2 linked regions of the Nothobranchius furzeri genome follow. The protein of the gene in region 2 purifies or fractionates together with the protein of the main gene of each other region. This does not show direct contact. Links are inferred from orthologs where the notes say so. Each region holds a gene or a part of one and is shown on either strand. Other genes may lie near its edges.

Evidence for each region. The genes of interacting proteins can lie anywhere in the genome.
Region 1: the proteins of irf2b (region 2) and interferon regulatory factor 2-binding protein 1 purify together in Homo sapiens (affinity purification with mass spectrometry; 4 studies listed by BioGRID and IntAct, counting the BioPlex papers as one, with this or other methods). This does not show direct contact. The link is inferred for Nothobranchius furzeri from reciprocal best matches to the Homo sapiens genes IRF2 and IRF2BP1.

What each region holds. Positions count from the first base shown.
Region 1 is NC_091750.1:43,017,053-43,028,300, reverse strand, and holds interferon regulatory factor 2-binding protein 1, read right to left. Parts: upstream 6,601-11,248; 5' UTR 6,414-6,600; coding exon 4,644-6,413; 3' UTR 4,616-4,643; intron 437-4,615; 3' UTR 289-436; downstream 1-288. Other genes in the region: heterogeneous nuclear ribonucleoprotein L, read right to left, coding at 10,089-10,147. UniProt on the Homo sapiens protein: Acts as a transcriptional corepressor in a IRF2-dependent manner; this repression is not mediated by histone deacetylase activities. May act as an E3 ligase towards JDP2, enhancing its polyubiquitination. Represses ATF2-dependent transcriptional activation.
Region 2 is NC_091741.1:103,992,159-104,002,661, reverse strand, and holds part of irf2b (interferon regulatory factor 2), read left to right. Parts: intron 1-6,706; 5' UTR 6,707-6,712; coding exon 6,713-6,799; intron 6,800-6,874; coding exon 6,875-6,974; intron 6,975-7,130; coding exon 7,131-7,307; intron 7,308-7,385; coding exon 7,386-7,432; intron 7,433-10,503. UniProt on the Homo sapiens protein: Specifically binds to the upstream regulatory region of type I IFN and IFN-inducible MHC class I genes (the interferon consensus sequence (ICS)) and represses those genes. Also acts as an activator for several genes including H4 and IL7.

The sequences.
Region 1 (11,248 bases), on a different chromosome or scaffold from region 2:
TGGTTTTTCTGTATTCTGGAATCCGTTTCATTTTTATCCTGCAAATATTCTTTAGCATCACTCTGCCGAACAACAAATTTTACCATCTTGAATCTGCTAGACACAGGGTGCAACGTTTAAAAACACCCCCACCCTAATAAGATTAAAATGTCAGATTGTCAAACAAACATGTGCTTTCAGTCCTGGGATTCTGGAAATGAGGCCTTAGCCCCAGTGGGTCAGGAACGAGTGACACCCCCCCACCCCCCAACACACACACACAGCCGCCCCCCCCCCCTCTCACAGGTGAGCTTTCTTTAGTCCTTATTAACCGATCTTTGAGTAGCTGTCCTGGGGTTCTGAGCTTCTTCGCTCTTGGAGGCACAGATGATGAAATGCAGCTGAAGTGGACTTCTGCTTGAGATAAAAAGGGAAGTGCTTTAGAGAATTTCATCCCCTGTGGAGAAAGGAAACAAAGTGGGAACATTTTTCAGTGTGAAACAACCAGCAGCTTTGTCACTCTATATAAGATTACCAGTTTTAAAAAAGCACGACTGTATAAAATCTCACGAGACTCATTCTGTAGCACAATACCAGCCACAGCTGGCCTGATTCCTGCTATACCTTCACCTGAAGGCAACAACATGCCCTGCTATATGCCATAAAAAATGGCTGTCTCCTGCTGTAGGATGGGCCTCCAGCATGAGCAAGTCAACTGAAAAACCAGCTTAGAGGTGAGGTGTCAGCATATCAGTAAATGATACGGAGTACAACTCCACATCCTGCCATTTTCTTCCCAATATCTTCTTGTTCCTGAAACAGCACCAGAGCTCTTCCCCTCAGAGATGAACTCACAAGGCATTCATTTATACTGGAGACCAATGCAGAAAAAAAAAAACTGAACAAAATGTGACTATAGTAATGTGATGTGGAAGCTGTTAAAAATCCAAAATAATATTAAATGTAAAAAATAAACACAAAGCGGATTTATTTTCTGTCTCTCAGTGAGCAGCTGTGATCAGCAGCAACACAGATGATGGTACCTGCTGGATCAGCGTCACAACCTGGTGGAACATTAAAACCAGGATGAATATCTGTCATATTTACTACCTAAAACTAATGTTTTTAAATCACTCTAAGAAGTTTACTTCAATCTGCTGCTCCTCTGAAATCAGGGTTTTTCCTGCGTTCAAATTTGCATGGCGGCCGCCTCCAGCTAATGTTGTGCCGCCCCAGCCTGATTTCACTCTGCCCCCAGCTACATGGATGTTATTTTAACTGCAGTTGCAGCGTTGCGCCACTACAGGGGCGCTGTATCAGCAGCGGCGCACCGAAAAGCACTAAAACCGCTGCAGACAAAGAAGATCAAAAATAGCTTTTGTCCCTAGTCAGTACATATCTATGGTTGGTGCTATTGACATCCTGATTGTCCCCCAGGCTCTTCCATATCAGAGCTGTACAGTGCGGCGAAAAAAACTGTCTGTGCGTGTCTGTCTATGTTTAAACGTAGAACTGGTGCAACATCTTTGATTTACTATTTTCCCCAGAACTTTATTGAACAAAAGTAAGTTACGTGTAAGAAAAATGCTTTTTACTGGTGCATAGTGTGGTCATCTGGATGTAGTGGAGGAAAATACAGGAACCAGCAAAGGCAGAACCGGTCCAAAGTTTGGGATCAGAAGTGCAGCTACATGCAGATTGGCTAATGCTAAAGCTAACGGGTAGCAGTCTCACGATCAAGTGGCGCACAAAAAATATATGATGACGGTAAAACTAAGAAAGACTAAACTCTACAAGCGGATGAAAAGTCCCCACCATCCTGTTTATTCTGCATCCTGCAGCGTTACGGATCAGAGCCGCTGCAGATACGAGTCACATACATTACTGCTGGTGCAGGAAGTATGGCAAGCCGTTGTAGTATATAATTCACAAACGCTTCTATCTTTGAACATAATTTAAACTGGATTACTGCCAACCCGTACATAATAGACATGCCACCATTACATTGTCGTCGTCGTCTTCCTCCGCTTATCCGGGTCTGGGTTGCGGAGGCAGCATCCCAACTAGGGAGCTCTAGACCGTCCTCTCCCCGGCAGGACCCCAAGGCGTTCCCGGACCAGATTGGAGATGTAACCTCTCCAACGTGTCCTGGGTCGACCTGGGGGCCTCCTGCCGGCAGGACATGCTCGAAACACCTCCCCGGGGAGGCGTCCAGGAGGCATCTGCCCAAACCACCTCAACTGGCTCCTTTCAATCCGGAGGAGCAGCGGTTCTACTCCGAGTCCCTCCCGAATGTCCGAGCTCCTCACCCTATCTCTAACCCCCAAATTCCACTACCTCCGCTCCGCTCCGGTCCGCCCCCGCCTTCCGCAGCCGCTCGCTTCCGAACTCAATTTTACTGGTACCCGCTCTACAACGGCTCCGCTCCGGTGCGGAGACCTGAGGGGGACAAACAAGCATGCGCGGGATTTTCGAGATCTTGCGATACAGTCCGAGCAATAAACGCGGAAGTTAGATCCAAACACCCGTTGTGCGGGAGAAGCATCGGAAATGAGCTGTTTAATCTGCCCATCATTGTGTTGAGAGATCAGCAGTGTTTGGATCAACAAAGTGTGACTACTTTGATAGTGGCAACTGTATTTATGGCTTATTTTTGTGCATTTAAACTTCAGCCGCCATTGATAGTTGTTAAAAGTTGTTAAACCTGTGCATATGAAACAAAAAACGCCTTTTGTTTAGCGATTTATTGTGAAAAACGGAAGATGTGCTTGCTCCTTTTCCTGTTGGGCCGTTGTGATTTCTGTCCATTTACTGCGGAGGTGCTCCGGCGTCCGGCAAAAATAGGATCGATTCTATTTTTGCCGGACGTCGGAACAGAGGGCGCCGCACGGCGCCGCACTGCCGGAGCACGGCCGCAGTAGTGGAATTGCTCTGATTGACTAGAACGGGACCGATTTTGCTCCGGCGTCCGTGTCGGAGCGGAGCGCAGCGGAGCGGAGGTAGTGGAATTTGGGGGTAAGGCTGAGCCCAGCCACCCTACGGAGGAAACTCATTTCGGCCGCTTGTATCCACGATCTCGTTATTTCGGTCATTACCCAAAGCTCATGACCATAGGTGAGGATTGGGACGAAGATCGACCGGTAAATCGAGAGCCTGGCTTTCTGGCTCAGCTCCCTCTTCACCACGACAGATCGGCTCAGCGTCCGCATCACTGCAGACGCCGAACCAATCCACCTGTCGATCTCTCGATCCCTCCTACCCTCACTCGTGAACAAGACCCCGAGATACTTAAACTCCTCCACTTGAGGTAGGACCTCTCCCCCGACCCGGAGTTGGCAAGCCACCCTTTTCCGGTCGAGAACCATGGTCTCAGATTTGGAGGTGCTGATCCTCATCCCAGCCACTTCACACTCAGCCGTGAACCTACCCAGCAAGAGCTGAAAGTCAGAGCTGGATGAAGCTAGGAGGACCACATCATCCACAAAAAGCAGAGACAAGATTCTCCTGCCACCAAACTCGACACACTCCACACCACGGCTGCACCTAGAAATTCTGTCCATAAAGGTAATGAATAGAGCCGGTGACAAAGGGCAGCCCTGGCGGAGTCCAACCCTCACTGGGAACAGGTCCGACTTACTACCAGCTATGCGGACAAAACTCACGCTCTTCTGTTGTCTGTGATGAAGATGAACAGAACAACACCGCAGCCTCACTGATGAACTCCTTCCTCAGCTCACAGCCCGACCCCAGACATGCAGGTGTCTGGCTGGAACAGGTGAGCATCACAGTGGAGCAAACTGAGCTTGGCTTATTTTGATTTTAGGCACTTTTTCTGCTTCAAAGCACAAAGGTAACAGGCGAGAGCAAAAAACAAGGAATAAAAAGAGTAAATAAATGAAACATAACTAAGTAACAAATACCACTGATGTGTGCTTTATTTAAGGTCCATTTGCTCGTGTGTGATTTCCTTATTCCACATTCAGTGTTTTGGTAAAAATAAGTTTGTTTCCAAATGAAAAGCTTCAACAGTACACATCTGTAGATAAAGGAAAATGTACACATTTGTCTCACTTTTAAAATATATATATTGAGTTTGGCCCGCAACATCGTCCCAGTTTTTCATTTTGGCCCAGTGTGAATTTGAGTTTGACTCCACTGTCCTAGATGGTTACTGCCCTGCATGTTTTAGCTGTTATCCTGATTCAGTGCTTGGACCACCTCATCAGCACCTCAAGTTCTGCAGGAGCCGGCTGACTCAAACCAGCTACGTTGGTACAGGAAACCCCCTGGGACCGTCTAGTTGGATTAAAAAGCCCACAGTCATATAAGAATATTTTGCTACTTTTACAGCATCAGCAGCATCAGTCTCAAAGAAATATCAAATTGGTCCCACAGAAAGTGTGGCACCAAACCTAATTCAAGTGTTGCACTGAATGTGATTAGTTTTGTGATGACAGAACAAAGAGAAGAGTGAGAAAATGGAAGTACTGTGTGCTTTAGACCGGCTGATCCCCCAACCAGTTAAATTTTAGTAAAGTAAATATCAGCTCAGCAGACCATAAAACATTAGTTTTAATTCTCGTCAGCGATAGAGAAGAAGGGTGTTAGTTTTCGTTTGTTTTTCTCTATATCTTACCATGACAGGATGGTGGAGACTTCAAGGATCACTCCTCCTTCTTGACCTTCACATCTCCATCTACAGCCAGGATGGTGGAGATCTCTCCCTGCATGAAAGCCCAAGGCACAGTGGATCCAGCCAGGGGACAGCGCTCCCCACTTGGGCAGTACACCTCCCCACCCTGACCCTGGCTGCGGATGAATCCTCGAGTGCAGGGGAAACAGAACTTGTGGTGTGGGACAGACGGACACTGGACAAAGTGTGTATCTTCCAGACGCTCTCTACAGAGGGTGCAGCAGAGCAGGGCGCTCTGTGTGCTGCTCGTGCTCTCCCCGGTGTTGGTGTTACTACTAGGCCCCATTGTACTCAGACCCTGCCCCATGGCTGCCTGGGAGGCTGAGGTGGAGGCGGTGGAGGGGCTGCTGCTGGTGGAGTGCCCAGCTCCCGAGGAGTGGGCTGCAGACATGCTGGGGCTTTCTCGAGCCATCTGACTAGAGCTCAGGCTGTCTGCAACTCCCATGAGAGCAGAAATGGGTGAAGGCTGGCTGTGTAAACGTGGCAAGCTTTCTTGAGGAGCAGCCATGCCCGGAAGAGGTTCTGTGTAGGCAGCTCGAGGCCAGGGTTCCCTTGATGGATGATCTAGTCTCCCGTCATTCTCTCCATTCTCTGAGCCAGGAGAAGCCTTACGGCGTCTGCTTGTTCCCTTTGCTGGTCCTGGACGCCCAGGAGCTGCCAAAGACAGTACAGGGTCTGGCTGTGGCAGGACCTCTGGGATTGGGGGCTCTTTAAACATGCGTACACCGTCATTCAGCAGCTCAGACAGACCACGCCAGTCTCCTGTGGCTTGTCGTTTTTCGTACTCCACGTATCTTAGCCCAGAGTTCACTGCTTTGCCTGCATCTTTGGCTGAATCCCGGAACATCTGCCTAACAAGGTCTGAGATTCCAGAGAATATGATTCCAGAGCCAGCAGGATATTCCACAAACACCCTCAGCTCAAACTCTGGAGTTGTGCTGGCATCAAAAGCCAGGACGCGACCCAGCAGGTTATGGTCTTTCCTGAAACGCACGTTGAAGGGGATGGAGTTGCTGAGAGACACAAGAACATCCCGGACTGCCTTTGGGTGGTTTGGCCAACCTTCGACCCTGCTGCGGGCCACCTCATTCAGTTCTGCCATCAGTTCACTGTTCCTCCAAACTGCTGGATCTAATCCCACAAGAGCAGAGGTGCTGGCTCCCACGCTCAAAGATACTGCCTGCCTTCTGCCAGCATCACTCATTACAGGGCCAGCTGAAACTGCAATGGACGTGGCCCCGGCTCTGGAGCCCGGTAAGGGAGCTAAAAGCCCGTGAGGAGCTGCTACTAGCCCCTGAGCTATTAAAGCATGAGATATGGAGCCATGCAGACCGGGTATTGAACCAGCGACAGCCCGACGGGTGTTCGGGCTCTGACGGCTCCCCTCAGACAAGGCCACATCTTCAGCTCTGTGCAGACCATTGGGGAGCCGAGAGGACGCCCCATATTCCCCCCTCCCTCTGTCTACACGTTCACCATGCTGCCGACCCACCTCTACGGAACCGACTGAGCTGGGCTTGCCCTGCGGTGGACCCGGAGACCTGCCATCCAGAACACCGTGAGTGCTCTTCAGCTGCCGGGCGGTTTCAATAAGCAGCTCTATCCGGTCCGCGCCGTCGTAGTTGACACATCCCCGGCACACCGCTTCGCTGAACTCCCACAGCATGGCCCACGGCATCTTGGGCAGATCGCAGAGGTAGCACCACTGGCGTCTGGAGGAAGACTGCGAGGCGGAGGACATGTTGTTTACAGGCCCGGAGACCAAACTTTCTTTAGAGGCCTACACGTTACGGTTCGTGTTTCTCGGTTATTCTTCAACCCTCGGACAGTTCGCGTCACATGCCACGACTTATTCAACAGAAACAGAGTAAAAACAACACTGGAACGCGACAAAAGTGTAAACTAACGAGGTTTTCTGTATCTGTTTGTTCGTGTGGTCTGTGTGGGAGGAAGTAAAATGTTATAAGACACCGGAAACACCTACGTGACTCAAGCGCAAAGCCTTGTGGGTACTGGAGTTTAACAGGTACGCAGGCAGTTTTATCTCTCCCCATCTTTTTACTACCGTCATCACACACACACACACACACACACACACACACACACACACACACACACACACACACACACACACACACACACACACACACACACACACACACACACACACACACACACCAGATCCCAACTCGCCAAATGTGGGATAAAGGTAAAAAAATTAATGCAAGAAGATAAAGTAAAAAAAATAAATAAACAAATATTCATCCTTTTAGCTCTAATATCACTGTTAAATATACATTAAATTATTATTATTATTTGTATTATTATTATTATCATTATATTTGTATCATTATTATTATTATTATTATTTCTGCCACACTAATATCTGAATGTCATTCCGACTAGTGTGGTCGGATCATGATAAAGAAGGTTGAGTTTCTCAAAACTTTAAATATTCCAATCTCTGTGAAAGATTACTCGATAGTTTTTGATGCAGTTCCACCTGGTTTTATTAGACTATTCCAAAACAAAACCGAATTTACAGCTAACACCAAAAGAATAATGGAATTCACATGCTGGACAGAAAACGTAACAAAACATTTTTCAAACATAAAGTTTATTCACAATGATTCCTAAATGTCAGTTCTTTTGGGAGAATACAATAAATAGTAATAATTGGTCAGTATTGCTGATAAATATATGGTCATCAACAAAATTAAAGAAGTTCCTTTTAAAATAGTTAATCAAATATATCCTATAAAATATTTTATTAAAAAATATAGAAAATAGTTAGTTGACTCTTGTACAGCTTCTGAGACAATTCCACGCCTGTTCTATGATTGTGTATTTGTTAAATATTTTTGCTTTTGGACAGCATTTTAATTTCACTTTATTGACAAGAATATGAACTTACATTCAAGAGATATTATTTTCCTTAAAAATAAAAAATAAATCTTCTTAAATGTCTCCATGTAAACAAGCTTGCAGAAATGTCATATTGGAGACTGAATAAGCCTCTCTAAATAAATGTATCACTTATGTTGTGTGATGTCTGAAGTCTGTTACATTTCTGTCTGAGGTGTTTTTTGCATAGCAAAGCTGCCCTCCCTGTGGAGGGTAACTCTGAAGTGCCTTTTTTTCCTCCACCTGACTCAGTCCTCATATAAACCCTCTGATCTCTATTAAGGTAGTGCGACGGGTTGTGAATGACCACAGTCACCAATTCTTGTCATGTGTCTTGCCTATGTATGTATCTCTGATCTCAGAATTGTGTACTGAAACTCTAATTTCCCTCTGGGATTAATAAAGTATCTTTAAATTGAATTTGAAGCTTATTTATTTTCTGTCCCTCAGTAAGCAGCTATGATCAGCAGCAACAGAGGTGATGGTACCTGCTGGATCAGCGTCACAACCTGGTGGAACATTAAAACCAAGATGAATATCTGTCATATTTACTACCTAAAACTGATGTTTTTAAATACTCCAAGAAGTTAACTTCATCCTGCTGCTCCTCTGAAATGTTAAATACACTGAACAAAAATATAAATGCAACACTTTTGTTTTGGCTCCCATTTATCGTGAGGTGAGTTTTGTCAAAAAAAAAATCAACATCATAAAAATATAAAAAACTAAATCATATTTTGTGTGTTATGTCCAGAGGACTTCTTTTGGGAGTGAATTGTGACGGCTCTAGTCTCACAAATGAGCATAAAAACAGGATTTGTGTACTCTGTATATTTTTGAGTATTGTCAGATATTCAGTAAAACTCAAACTTAGGTCCCTCACACAAAAAAATGCATTTTAGCAAAATGTTTAATAAAAATTACATATTTCAAGTCAAAACTTTTTTTTTTACAGATTCTTTCCTTAGCTTCAGTCCTCACCAAAAATAGTAAAATATTTGAGTGTTTTGAAGATTTAACCCTTTAACACAATGTTTTGTAACAAAATAAATAAAATATTATAACCATGTGTGTTATAAATCAGTGCCCTGCTATTTATAGAAAATTTATGCCGTTTGGTGGAAAAAACAGGAACACAGTTGGAGTGAAATAAAAGAAAATAATTCATGGATATTTAGCTTTGTTTAAAAAATGTCTGAATGGGAGTCAATGGCACTAAAAATGTCTGAGGGACGTCCGTTTTTTGTCTATGCAATGTTTTAAATGGAGTAGGGGGTGAACATTTTATTTTTGATAAACTTCCCCAAGAACACACACCAGAGCAAAACATAAAAAGAATTGCATCAGCACAATCAAAGTTATTGAAAAAAAATGACTGCCTGTGCAAAAAAAAAAAAAAAAAAGCACAAGTGACCTCTAAGGGTTAAAGCACACGTGAACCGCAAAACCTGAGCTCTCATCACAAGTTTTACCGCCATGTTTTGATCTCCTGTCATGCATTTTTGCTGCTGCTGTCCTTTCTAGACTTGTGAGTTTGACACAAACTTTTCAATGGGCCAAGAGCCACCTTGCTGTAATTTTATAGATTTATTTGTTATGTGTGGTCATATAAAAAATTAAAAGTAATTCTAAATTTAGTTCTAAAATTCGAACTTCTTTGGTAAACAAGTGCCTGACACAACAAATACCTGGCTCCAAGTACATCTGTTGAGACCATCAGTTGAGACGTGCTGCGGGTTCCGGAGTTGGTAAGAATTTAAGAGAAAGCACGGCTCAATTTCAAGCTTTATTTGAAGCAGAACAGATTATTACAACAAACACAAGTGGGAAATGTCTGAAAAACTGTGTAGTCCACACGATTATTACGTGTGAGATGTTTAATGAAATTATTCCAACAAAAGTAAAAAGAACAGTATCGGCATCATGAGAAGGAAGCATCAGCTGGACACAGATTTGGTCTAAACACCACTTCCAGTTCTTCTGTTCTATTAGAACAGCATCCACACCAATTTTAGAAGTAGCACTGAATCACTGCTGGCTGTTCACCTAGATGACAACATCTATTTTCATGAGCGGATTTGTTTAACCTTAGTTGTGTTCTTGCTGTGTCGTATCTCTAATTCCATGCTGTAGTTCTTTTTTAAAACACAGAGCAGTTTGGTTACCTGTTTTCCCGCATAGCGGGAAAACAGGTAACCAAACTGCTCTGTGTTTTAAAAAAGAACTACAGCATGGGATTTGTTTAATTATTAAATCATGATATTAGGAACAACAGTCAATGATCAAGTACTCTGACTACTCTCATTTTAACTTGTATTTCAAAGCCAGATACAAGAGGAGAGGTTGTGACGTGAACATACAAAAATAATTGATATAAAAACAGAATTCATGAAAAAGGTTAAATATAAGAAACATTTTCTCACGCACATTATTTCTAGTTTTAGTGAATATACGATCAACAAAATGTGCCAACAGAACTGCAGGTTAAAGACTTCAAACTGAGAGGGCAGTGTTAGTTGGTGTGGTGTGCGGTTGAGAAACACAGCTTGAGTGTGTAAGGATAAGGCCCACCTAGAAGAGAGAGAAAACAGAGAAAGACAAAGCTTTCAATTACCAACCAATCATCTATTTCTATAGCACCTTCCACTACATTCACAGAAGCCTACGGTGTTTTCACTACCACAGTGCATGGTAAAAAGGTTATAAAAACAGCAGATATCATAAGAACAAATAATAAAAATAGAATAAAAGACCCAGGAAGTTAGCCAGGCTGCACAACGCCTCGCTCCAGCAGGACACGCAGTGGCATGAGCGCACCTCCTGGAAGCATACATCACTAAAGCAGACAGCTAACAAAATAAAGCTGAAAAAAATAAATAAATAAGTAAAAAAGTGCCGCCATTAACACTTCTTATTAGAATCAACTGAAGACCCAGCTTATCTTCCTCAGTGAGGAAAGATCTTTTTCAAAACCCTCGCTTTGGCGTCAGACTCTGGCTGCAAGTCTCATTTTTCTGTCTTTAAGCTAAACAGCTGAGCTGTCTGCTGGACATTCAGCCTTCTCATCAAATACGTAAAAAAAACACTAAACTACAGAGAAGTAACTATCTTTCACATCTCTCCAATATCTAAAGTTTTGTCTCACTGTTTACTTCGCTCTGTGACAGCTGATCACGTTAGGGTTGCAAGGATTAACCTGTTTGACTATTAACCACTGTGTGGACAGCTGCGGTTAACCCACTGTAAAGATGTCTCCAACACCGCAAAAAAAAAAAAAAAAAAAAAAGTGAACCAAAGCAAAAGTGAAACTGAAACGAACGCACCCAGCAGAACCAGCGTCAACAATCACCGGGACTTCTCTGTTTCCACTTAGGAAGCACTTCAAGTCTCCTGTGAGGGAATATTTTAGACTCCCAAAGCTGCTAAAAGAGAAATTCAGAACGATGTCTCATCCATCCACAGAGCTGGCAGAAAAATAAAAGTTGCTACACTCCCAATTTATCATCACTGATATCATCACGCAGACAAATGAGGTCCCAGTGAGTCAGATTACATTAGTGGCTGAACGAATTTAACAGCAATATTAGAACAATCCAGTGAACAACGGTTCATATTGTGCTGTTCTACGTTTCCCCGGTACCCGTCTACAACAAGCCTGTGCGGCAACCCATT
Region 2 (10,503 bases):
GTTATATTCACCTGGACACAGCTCGTCTGTATATTTTTCTCCGCGGAGTTGTCCTTTTTTGAATGAGGAACATAGTTATGGGTTTGTGCCGTTTTTCTCTTAACGAGAACATTCTTATAAACAGACGTGCTAAATTTGGCAAGCGCATGATACACAACACGGAGGAGATTCAAGATTGCATCTAGTCAATCAGAAGTAGAACACCGTAGACTGACGCGGCAAAAAAACATGTTTAACATCCACTATAACGAACTCAGCTCCCAAATTTGATCTGCGTTAGCTTGTTTATTTTCTGTTACTTACTGGATTTACCAGACTTTACTTACTGGATTTACCAGACTTTCCTCTGCTGCATCAGCCCCCACATGTTTTCGTCTCAAATGTTCACTTAGGGACGTCGTGCTTCTGTGCCATGCTAGATGGTTTTTGCATATTTTGCAGGTCACCCATCTTTTCAAGGCATCTAGAGTGAAGTGCTCCCATACTCGTGAGGTTTTTGTCCGGGGTTTCTCTTGTTTTGTCGCTTCCATTTTTCTTCCGTATTTCTTCTTGTTCCGCCATCTCTCACAGCAAGATGAGCGTCAGTAACGTGATACGTCATGAAAACCGAGGGCACTTATTGGCTCATTTCTTCTTCTACGGCTCCACTGGGAGATCAGTGGCTCATTACTGCCACACACTGGCGGCAAATTTAACAGATTGTAACCAATGTCAGATTGTGGTAAAAAAATAGACTTTATGCGGTAAAATATGATTATTAAACAACTAATCGATGACTAAAAAAGCTGTTAACTATTTTAATAATCGATTAAATCGATTAGTTGTTTCAGCTCTACACCTTATACACTTCCACTAACGACATTCCACACAAACACACACTTAGGGCCTTGGGAGTGAGCACATTCAACGGCACTTGGCAGGGGGATTTCTCAGCCTCCTCTCGGGTGCCAGTGCCCACTTCCAATTTTAAACCTCACTTAGACACCGAGGGCTGTGGGCGCAAGTGGGGTGGTGCGGTGGCATCAGCTGGCATAGGCCAGACAATGCCCGCACTGCCCGCTCACCACAGCCATGGAATACACCTCATGAACACACAATACTATATTGGAGCAGGCGGAGAGAGACTAGGGGTCTTGGCACACCTCTGTTGTTGCTTGGCTTCCTGGGGGCTGGAGGCTAGGAGAGAGATCTGGCCATCTGGTTGGGGTCTGGGGTGGTGGGTTGCTGTGCTCAGCGTTGGGCGGGGGAGCCTGCTCATCAGCACCCCAGCAGAAAGGGTCAAACTCTGGTTACCGGTGATGGTTGTACCCAATGTGCAGCAGTACCGGGACCAGAGTGAATAGGGTGTGTATGGGGAGCATGAGTAGGTGTCCGGTGTGCATTTTTGTAAGTCTTGGGTTGTATGTGCATGTGTGAGCATGAGGGAGGGAGTGTGTGACTGTGTTTGTGTATGACTGTATATGTCAGGTGGGGCCTTTGACTCCTCCCCTCTCCTGAAACTTCTTTTGATGATATAGATCTTCGTCCCCCCTCCCCCTGCCACACCTGGTGTGGGGTGTGGTGCCTTGGTCTGCCTGAGTGTTTGTGGCTCCCGGGTCAGGGGGTTTAAGATTTTTGGCATCTGCCTGATCAATCCAGGTGGCTGCCTGGTGGTGTCTGGGTCCCTGGGCTCTGCTGGGTCCCCGGCGGGGGTGGTGGCCCCTGGGTCCCGGGTCGCTGGGTCCCGGGCTCGGCCGGCTAGGGGGTGGGAGGCTGCGGGCGGGCCTGTTGGCTTGCCGCTGATATCTCCCGGGACTCTGCCGGCTGCTGGTTGTGGCCCCCCAGGGCGATCCTCTGTGCCTCTCGAGGGGGGCGTTGGGCCTTTCTGGTTGCAGTCTCCTTGGGGTTCCTGTGTTCTGGGGCAGCGCCTGGATCTCTGGGACTTGGAGCTCCCCCCGTCTCCTACGCATCTTTGGGGGGCGGATCTGTGGTCCCTCACACTCTCTATTGGACGCTCCTATAGAGAAACCTTACATAAACAAGCGCGTGTACACACACAGGTGCTCACATGGTGCTCTCAAAAGTATGGGCTTGGGCACATTAAACACAGGTCTTAAGACTATGGTGGGCACTTAATGCACTGTGATTTATTATCGTGTGATTGTTCAGTTAAACAATGTTGATTATATATTTCTTCATCAAGTTTACACAGTGATGGCTTGATCTTGTATTGTTGTTGTGTTCCTTTTTTTTGTTCTTTTGCTTTTTTTCTTCTCTTTTTCTGCAGGTCTAGAAGCAGACTCTTGTTCATTATTGTTTATTTTTGTGGACCCCCCCTTCCCCCCTCTCTCCCCACCTTTTGTCTTTGTGGGGTGGATTCATTTCTGCTTCAACCAGTTTTAGTAAAACTGAAGATTTTGTATCTAACTTATTTTATTTAACTTAATTTCATGTTATGGAGTTAAACACGTGTTCCATAAAACCAGCCTGGAGAACATTCTGGAGACTGTTCTTTTGTTCATCGAGCTCCTGATTAAATTAGTACTTTTTAAAGGGGTGTACTCATTTATGCTGAACATTGTGTATGTATATGTATATATTATATATATATATATTAGGGCTGCACGATATTAGGAAAACCTGCGATATTCGACAACAGTGCTTAATATTGCGATATTACTCGCGATAAATGAACAAATACTAAAGTACCGTAAATCCTCTAATACAGGCCCGGGCCTCTATTTGACTCAAGCTCATCAAGCTCCAGGCCTTTATTGGAAGGAGGGCCAGTATTAGAGGCAGGCCTCTATTTCAATTTGAGCAAAATGAACTAATGTTCCTTGGAGTTTTTGACAATTAAAATTGCGCCCACATTTTCAAAGTTAAACACATTTCTTTTAACAACAGTAGTTTCTGCTTCAGCCATCTCCCCCTGCTTTAGCCCTCTCCCCCCTCCCCCTGCTTTAGCCCTCTCCCCCCTCCCCCTGCGCAGCGGCCGCAATCTCACTGATGCGCCTGCAGCCTCTCGGAGTTCCTGCTGCTCTAAACATTAAAATAATTATTTCATTTTCTGTTCCTCACTTCTGATGACCTTCAATGGTGGCTGTTTGTTGCAACAGCAGGTACAAAAACTAACTTGTTTTTATTTGACTATTTTTCTGTCCTGCCTGTTTATTATCTTCCTGCATCTCCTCTCAATCCTAAAGAAAAACTGCTACCTGGGTTCATATATATTCACCTCATGAGTTACCTTTGAACTGCAGTTCTAAAAGATCTACTGACCGCAAAAACAGCGGAGTGCTCGCTGTTTGTCGGCCGTATCAGTGATGAGTGCGTCGGAGGACAAGGTGATGCGTGCAGCGCCCCGCTCCACAGCATGCAGCAAACGCATCAGGCGCAAATAAAAGACAGAAAACATTAAAGGAAATGAACCAACATGAACGATCGCGTGTCAGTACCTACGGTCTGGCACAGCGCGTTGCCCCCACCCCCCACCCCCGAGCGCAGGAGCTTGTCACCTGCTGACAGCAGACTGCTGTCTTTTCCGAGGGCTGCATCTTGCCGGTCATTATCACGTGACAGCGACTAGTCGACGACAGGCATAAAAAGTCACTATAGTGAAGTTGACTAGTTCATACACCCCCTACTGCTGCTCTCCAGAGTGTTCTGCAGCATAATCAGCACGTTCTCTTTGAACTTGACAGTGTAATGACCTGGCTGGGGTTGTAAGCCAGGTGCTTTCTGGGTATTGTGTTATATGTGTTTCCTATCGTTCTGCTAGTTCCTATGTGCTGATTTGCGTGTTGTGTGAGTGTTATGTAAGCCACAGGGAAGTTGATGTGTGTTCTGTGGAGTGGGTTGAATTAGCATGGTTAACTGACACCGTGACTCTGTGTGGTAGGAGCGTGATAGAGGATTGTGTCTGTAGCGTTACAAAGCGTTGAAGAAAAAGCCTAATAAAGGTCTGCTTGAACCTCTACTGCCTCCTGCTGGTTCATTTGGGGACTATAACCCTGCCGCTGGGACGCTCATACTTGCTTGTTACTACATTCCACCCGGCCACAATAAGAGACCGGCCAATATTTACCTCAACTGGCTTTGACACCGGCCACAATTGGAGACCCGGCCTTTAATTGAATACCGGCCTGTATTGGAGGATTTACGGTATGCAGTGTTGATGTCGTCTGGCGTGTGATGTCTGCTCTGGGTTCAAAGCTAACAAAAACTAATGCATGAATTCCATTACAACATAACATTTTTATTGCAAAAATATGCAGCTGCACCTGCTACTGTATTAGCAGCAAAACAACAAACTGCATGCATGCAGTTTCTCAGTGACTTTAAAACATCACCTCCACCATAAAACTTTTTCTGATGCTCCAAATACAGAAAAACATCCCTTACCTGTAGGGATGCACCGATACCGTGCCAATACCAATACCAGTATCGGTATCGGTAAAAGTTTGCCGATACCAGGAACCAATACCAATGCAGTTGCTTGAAAATGGCTTCACTGTAACTTGTCATTTCTGTTCACCTAATATTTTAGTTTTGTGATGATTTCCATTCATATATTTTACTTTTTATCTACCTCACAGTCTTTTCCTGTTGAAAGCAGAGAAGAAAATAAAATCTGTATTCCAAATCATTGCATTTTTTTTGTGTGGTGGAAGTATCGGCATCGGCGAGTACTCAGATCCAAGTATCGGTATCGTATCGGTTTGGAAAAAAGAGGTATCGGTGCATCCCTACTTACCAGGGTTTTTTGAATAAATAAAAAACAGAAAATAAGTTTAAATGTTAAATAATAGTTAACATCACTTAAATGCAACAGCAAATTCTCTCATTGCTACTGAACATTTTCTCCACTTATGTGGTTATGATACAAGGCTGTTGCTGCAATTGGGAAGTGAACTGTGCTGGGCCAAACTAGGAGAATATTAAGATTTTCTGAGGGGAAGAGAAAAACATTTGTCTACCTTTCAGAAGAGGAACTGGCAAAAAAAAACTACATGGAAAATATGTGAAACCGTTTGTTTTTAACCCCAAATTGAACAAGTTTACCTAGATCTTAAAAAGCAGCTCAGATGATGAAACTGCAACTATGATTCTTTTAACAAGCTAACAAATTGAACTAGCTCCTCTAAGACAACCGGCTAGCAGAGCTTCTGACTGACAGTTTAGGTGCAGCAGCAAATCAACTATCCTGATTAGGGCTGCACGATATTAGGAAAACCTGCGATATGCGATAACAATGATTAATATTGTGATGACGATATTACTTGCGATAAATAAAAATTTAACTCAGGAACTAAATTAATCAACAACAAGGAAATAAGAAAATCATAAAAATGAGAAAAACAAAAGATGTGAGGAAAGGGGAAAAAATGAACAAGAAAAGGCGATCAGTGGATCCCAGGAAAAGCAGAATCAGCAGAAAGAGCAGAACTAAGCTAACTCAGGTGTTTGCTAACCATCTAAATTAAGTGCTGTCCGCCTTGGGGGCGGACATCTTACCTATGAGAATCCACCCATTGGGCCAAATGGATGAAGAGCTGTATTTGATTTGTTAAAAAAAACATCACACCTCTATTTGATTGACAGAATGCCTCATGTGTAGCAAACATTTGAGCTGACCATTCATTACGATATTTATCTGTTCTTTGCGATATGCATATTGTGCATGCTGATATCGCGATAACGATATATTTACGATATATTGTGCAGCCCTAATCCTGATTATCAAGATTATAAAAGCTCATAAATGAAAAATCACTTTGATGTGTGGGGGAACTTTTCCAGGCCCTCTTTAGCAGGGTGGGACTGGGAGGAGAGTGCTGTAGCCTTTTAGCTGGAAGCTAACCGGAGCCTGGGGCTAACATCACCACCCGGTGGAACACTAGCGACACAAAGGTGGGTTGGTTCACCGGCACGTGTCAGAGTCAGCCCGATAAAAGTGATTGACGACACCGAGCGGACTCACGTTCACATTTGAAAGCAGTGCTGACTCCAGAAACCTCAGCACAAAGTGCGTTTGTTGCTCTGAGCCAGCATGACGAACAAGGGAACGGCACCGCTAACTCAGTTCGGGGTTTAATTTCCATCCTAAGGGTCTACGTAGGGGGCTGGCGTTTTACGTGAACAGACCCGTCTGATTGGCCACATGTTGGTCATAATAATACTGCCACGTAAAAAACAGCTGGTTTACAAAAAGCTGATGTATGACACGGATGGGAATGTTTGAACAAAACATTTATCGCCATTTTTGTCGTGCTTTGCGATTGGCCTATCGCACGTCCTGTTATCCCGATGGCAATAATTTTTCGATATATTGTGCAGCCCTAATACATATGTATTATATATATTTTAAATATGTATATATATTTACACATATATATTATATATATATAGATATGTAGATACACATACATATATATACACACATACATATATATATACATATCTATATATATAGATATATAGATACACATACAAATATATACACACATACATATATATATATACATATATATATATATATATAGATAGATAGATAGATAGATAGATAGATAGATACACATACATATATATACACACATACATATATATATATGTATATACACACATATTATTTGGAGCCGTGGCACAGCGCCACCCTTGAGCCTATGTAGGGGAAACGCTGTGTGTGTGTACCATGACTTGAGCGTGTACACCTGTGTGTCCACAGCTGAAAATGCCCGTGGAGAGGATGCGGATGCGACCGTGGCTGGAGGAGCAGATTAATTCCTGTCAGATCCCAGGACTAAAGTGGGTTAACAAGGTAAGAGTCCACCTGGAGACGAGCTCAGACTCACGTGTTGTGGTTCACACGATAACAAAAGCACTTGATCTGCAGGAAAAGAGAATTTTTCAGATCCCCTGGATGCATGCGGCTCGTCATGGCTGGGATCTGGAGAAAGATGCCCCACTCTTCATGAGATGGGCCATACACACGGGTGACTGCTTCTCTTCTGCTGTTGCTAATCCAAGACACTTCAGAGTTATGCAATAATAGTTGGCTTACAAAAGTGGGAGGGGCAGCTCTGGGTTACTGTAGAAAAACTCTTGACCTGTTGAGTCTGAACCATGTGCTCTGGTTCATTGGGCTGTAGGTAAGTATCAGCAAGGTGTAGACCGACCCGATCCAAAGACATGGAAGGCCAACTTCCGCTGTGCCATGAACAGCCTTCCAGACATCGAGGAGGTGAAGGATAAAAGCATCAAAAAGGGTACCAACGCCTTTAGGGTTTATAAGATGCTCTCGTCTTCAGAGAGGAACCTAAAGAAAGGTGAGTTCTGGTTCTGTTCTGCTCACCTGCTGTAGATTTGACCTGAGACCTGACTTTTTCTCTTGGGTGTGTATGTAGGAAAGAAAAAGGCTGACAAGGAGGGAACGTCTAGAAGACATAAGGAGGTGGGTGAACTGTGTGTGGGGGATGTTGGGATGAGGAATGCTGATTGGACAGTGTGGTTCTGCTGTCTCACCTACACCTTGTTTTAAAGTCTGCTGGCATGTTAGTCATAGGGAACCTAAGTCATGCCCATCTACTGCCGGACCATGGGTCCCCAACTGCAAAAAGAGAAAACGAATATGACTCTGAGAGGTTAAGTCATTTCCTGATCCAGTTTGACAAATGCCATGAATTTCACATATGATGTCCGCGATTTTTAAAGACGTATTTTGATGCCAAGAAAGCTCTGATTTTTTTTAATGCTGGCGACGGTTATTTTAGGTTTTGTGTGAAAAGATGTAACGGACTAGTGGTATGAGTGTCCACCCTGGGACTGGGACTTTGTGGGTTCAAATATGGTCAGATAATACCAAAGACCAGACCGGATTTGAAAAAAGGGGACCCAATTAGGGTTGTCACTGTAACCGGTGTAGTGGTGAACCCCGGTAAAAAAGTTGGCAATAATAATAACCGTCTTGTTTTTTAAAAAATATGTTATCTCGGTGGATTACCGTGGCTGCGGTGTAGGCGCGGTGACCCTTACCAGCCACCGTATTATCTGCTGAATTTGCCGGCGGCACATGTGCACTTTGTTTACAGCCAAAACTTCCTTGAAGCTAAGCTGAAATAGCTGAAATAATGGTCAAAGGAGGAGAAGGCAGCTCTCAGGACATTTATTATCCCTCAAAGAAGACAAAGTCGGAAGTATGGGCATTTTTTGGATATTTGAAGAATGCCGAGGGACAGCTGATAGAAGACGGCTATCCTGTTTGTAGCATGTGCAGGAAAAAGTGTGTGAAAGGCAGCAACGCTTCAAATCTCTGCGTGAATTTAACAATGATTACTGCCTGATGACATTTTCCCAAATCTGCAAAGCCCACTGGAAAGACACAAACCGAGGACAATATTTTCCTGATATAGTGTTTATTACTCAAGTAAGGGTAAAAAAGTATCTGATTAGAAGGCTACTTGAGTACTGAGTATCATCTGATCTAATATTTTTTAAATGATGACATCAAACAGACAAAAAAATAAGAAGTTATGGGCAAATATTGCTATTTTAAAGACTAAAGGGGAAAAATGTAAACAAATAAACAACATAATTACAAAATAAATTTTAGGCAAAATTTAGACACAAACTGAGGACAATATTTTCCTGATATACAGGGTTTATTTAGTCGTCTGAAAATGTAACACATTTTAAAAAGTACCGCGATAATACCAAAAACCATGATAATTTTGGTCACAATAACCGTGAGGTTAAATTTTCACACCGTGACAACCCTAGACCCAATGCCTCCCAGCTTGACACTCAGCTTTAAGGGGTTTGATTGGGGTTTAAACCACCAAATGGTTCCAGAGTGTGGATGTGTCTGCAACTCACCGCTCCCCATGGGAATGGGACGAATGTGGAGAGCAAATTTCACCAGTGCTTGATGACTAATGGGACTTTATTCTTAATCTTAGTCTCACTAAATTGAGGTAATCAAACCAGACGTGGTTGAAAGAAGCATAAAACGTTGAGAAAATCACTATAAATCTGTCCTTGTTGTAAGTAAGTAAGTAAGTAAAAGTTTATTTATATAGCGCCTTTCACAGATATAAATCACAAAGCGCTGTACAACATGATAAAGATCAGGGCAAATACCTCTAACCTTTGTAAGCAGCATCTACGCTTGGGGAGAGGACGTCATATATGCCACGTCTGATTTGTAGACATTTTAATTACAAATTTTAACAAGCTAATAAAGTACATGATGGTCAGAGTCAAAACAAATTACTTTTTTTTTAAATTGAGGTACAACATGTGATTCAGGGAGTAAGGCAAAGCTGGTTCGAGAATTAACTTATCGACCTGTTCGGGGGCCCGTGAGCTGACCAAAAAGGGAGGAGACTTAGGTTCCCCGTTGCTAAAAGACTTTATGGAGAATAGGATTGCAGAGATTAACCTGTCTGACTATCAACCATGGTGTGAAACGCTGCACTTAACCTACTGTAGACATTTCCAACACCGCAACAGGACAACAGTGTGACTTGCGCAAACCAAAACGAAAGTGAAAGTGTGTTCATGTTTTTCATTTATTTGTGATATATATATAATTTTTTTTTCTAGTTTTCACTTAATAGAAAAAAACGACATTAAAAAAATTCAGCTTGCATTATTTTTTGTCTAAATGTCAACCTATGCATCAGTGTTGGCAAAAATTGTGCCTGGAAAACCTCACCAGGGAGGCATCCAAGAGGCATCCTGACCAGGTGCCCGAGCCACCTCAACTGGCTCCTCTCGATGTGGAGGAGCAGCAGGTCTACTCCGAGCCCCTCCCAGATGACCGAGCTTCTCACCCTATCTCTAAGGGAGAGCCCAGCCACCCTGTGGAGAAAACTCATTTTGGCCACTTGTATCCGCGATCTCCTTCCTTCGGTCACTACCCAAAGCTAGTGACCATAGGTGAGGGTAGGAACGTAGATCAACCGGTAAATTGTGTAAATCACATCAACTAACACAGCCCTACAACGTCCAGAGCCTTAAGAATCTCTGGGTGTATCTCATCCACCCCCGGGGTCTTGCCACAATGGATTTTTTTGACCACCTCAGTGACCTCGGCCCCAGAGAGGAGTCCAACCCAAAGTTCCCAGACTCTGCTTCCTCACTGGAAGACGTGCCAGTCGGATTGAGGACGTCTTATAAGTTTTCCGCCCACTAATCCACAACGTCTCAAGTAGAGGTCAGCAGTACACCGTCATCACTGTAAACAGTGCTGATAGCGCACTTTAGGTTTGAGAGCTTTTACTTCCTGAGACGCTGGATGGTGGACCAGAATCTCCTTGTTACAATACAGAAATCTTGCTCCATGGTCTCACCAAACTGCTCCCACACCCGGGTTTTTGCCTCCGCGACCACCCAAACCGCATCCTCCCCCACCACCAAAACCAACTCCGTGGTCAGTTGACAGCTCCGCCCCTCCCTTCACACGTGTGTTCAAGACATGCGGCCGCAGATCAGATGAAATGACAACAAACTAAGTAGATCATT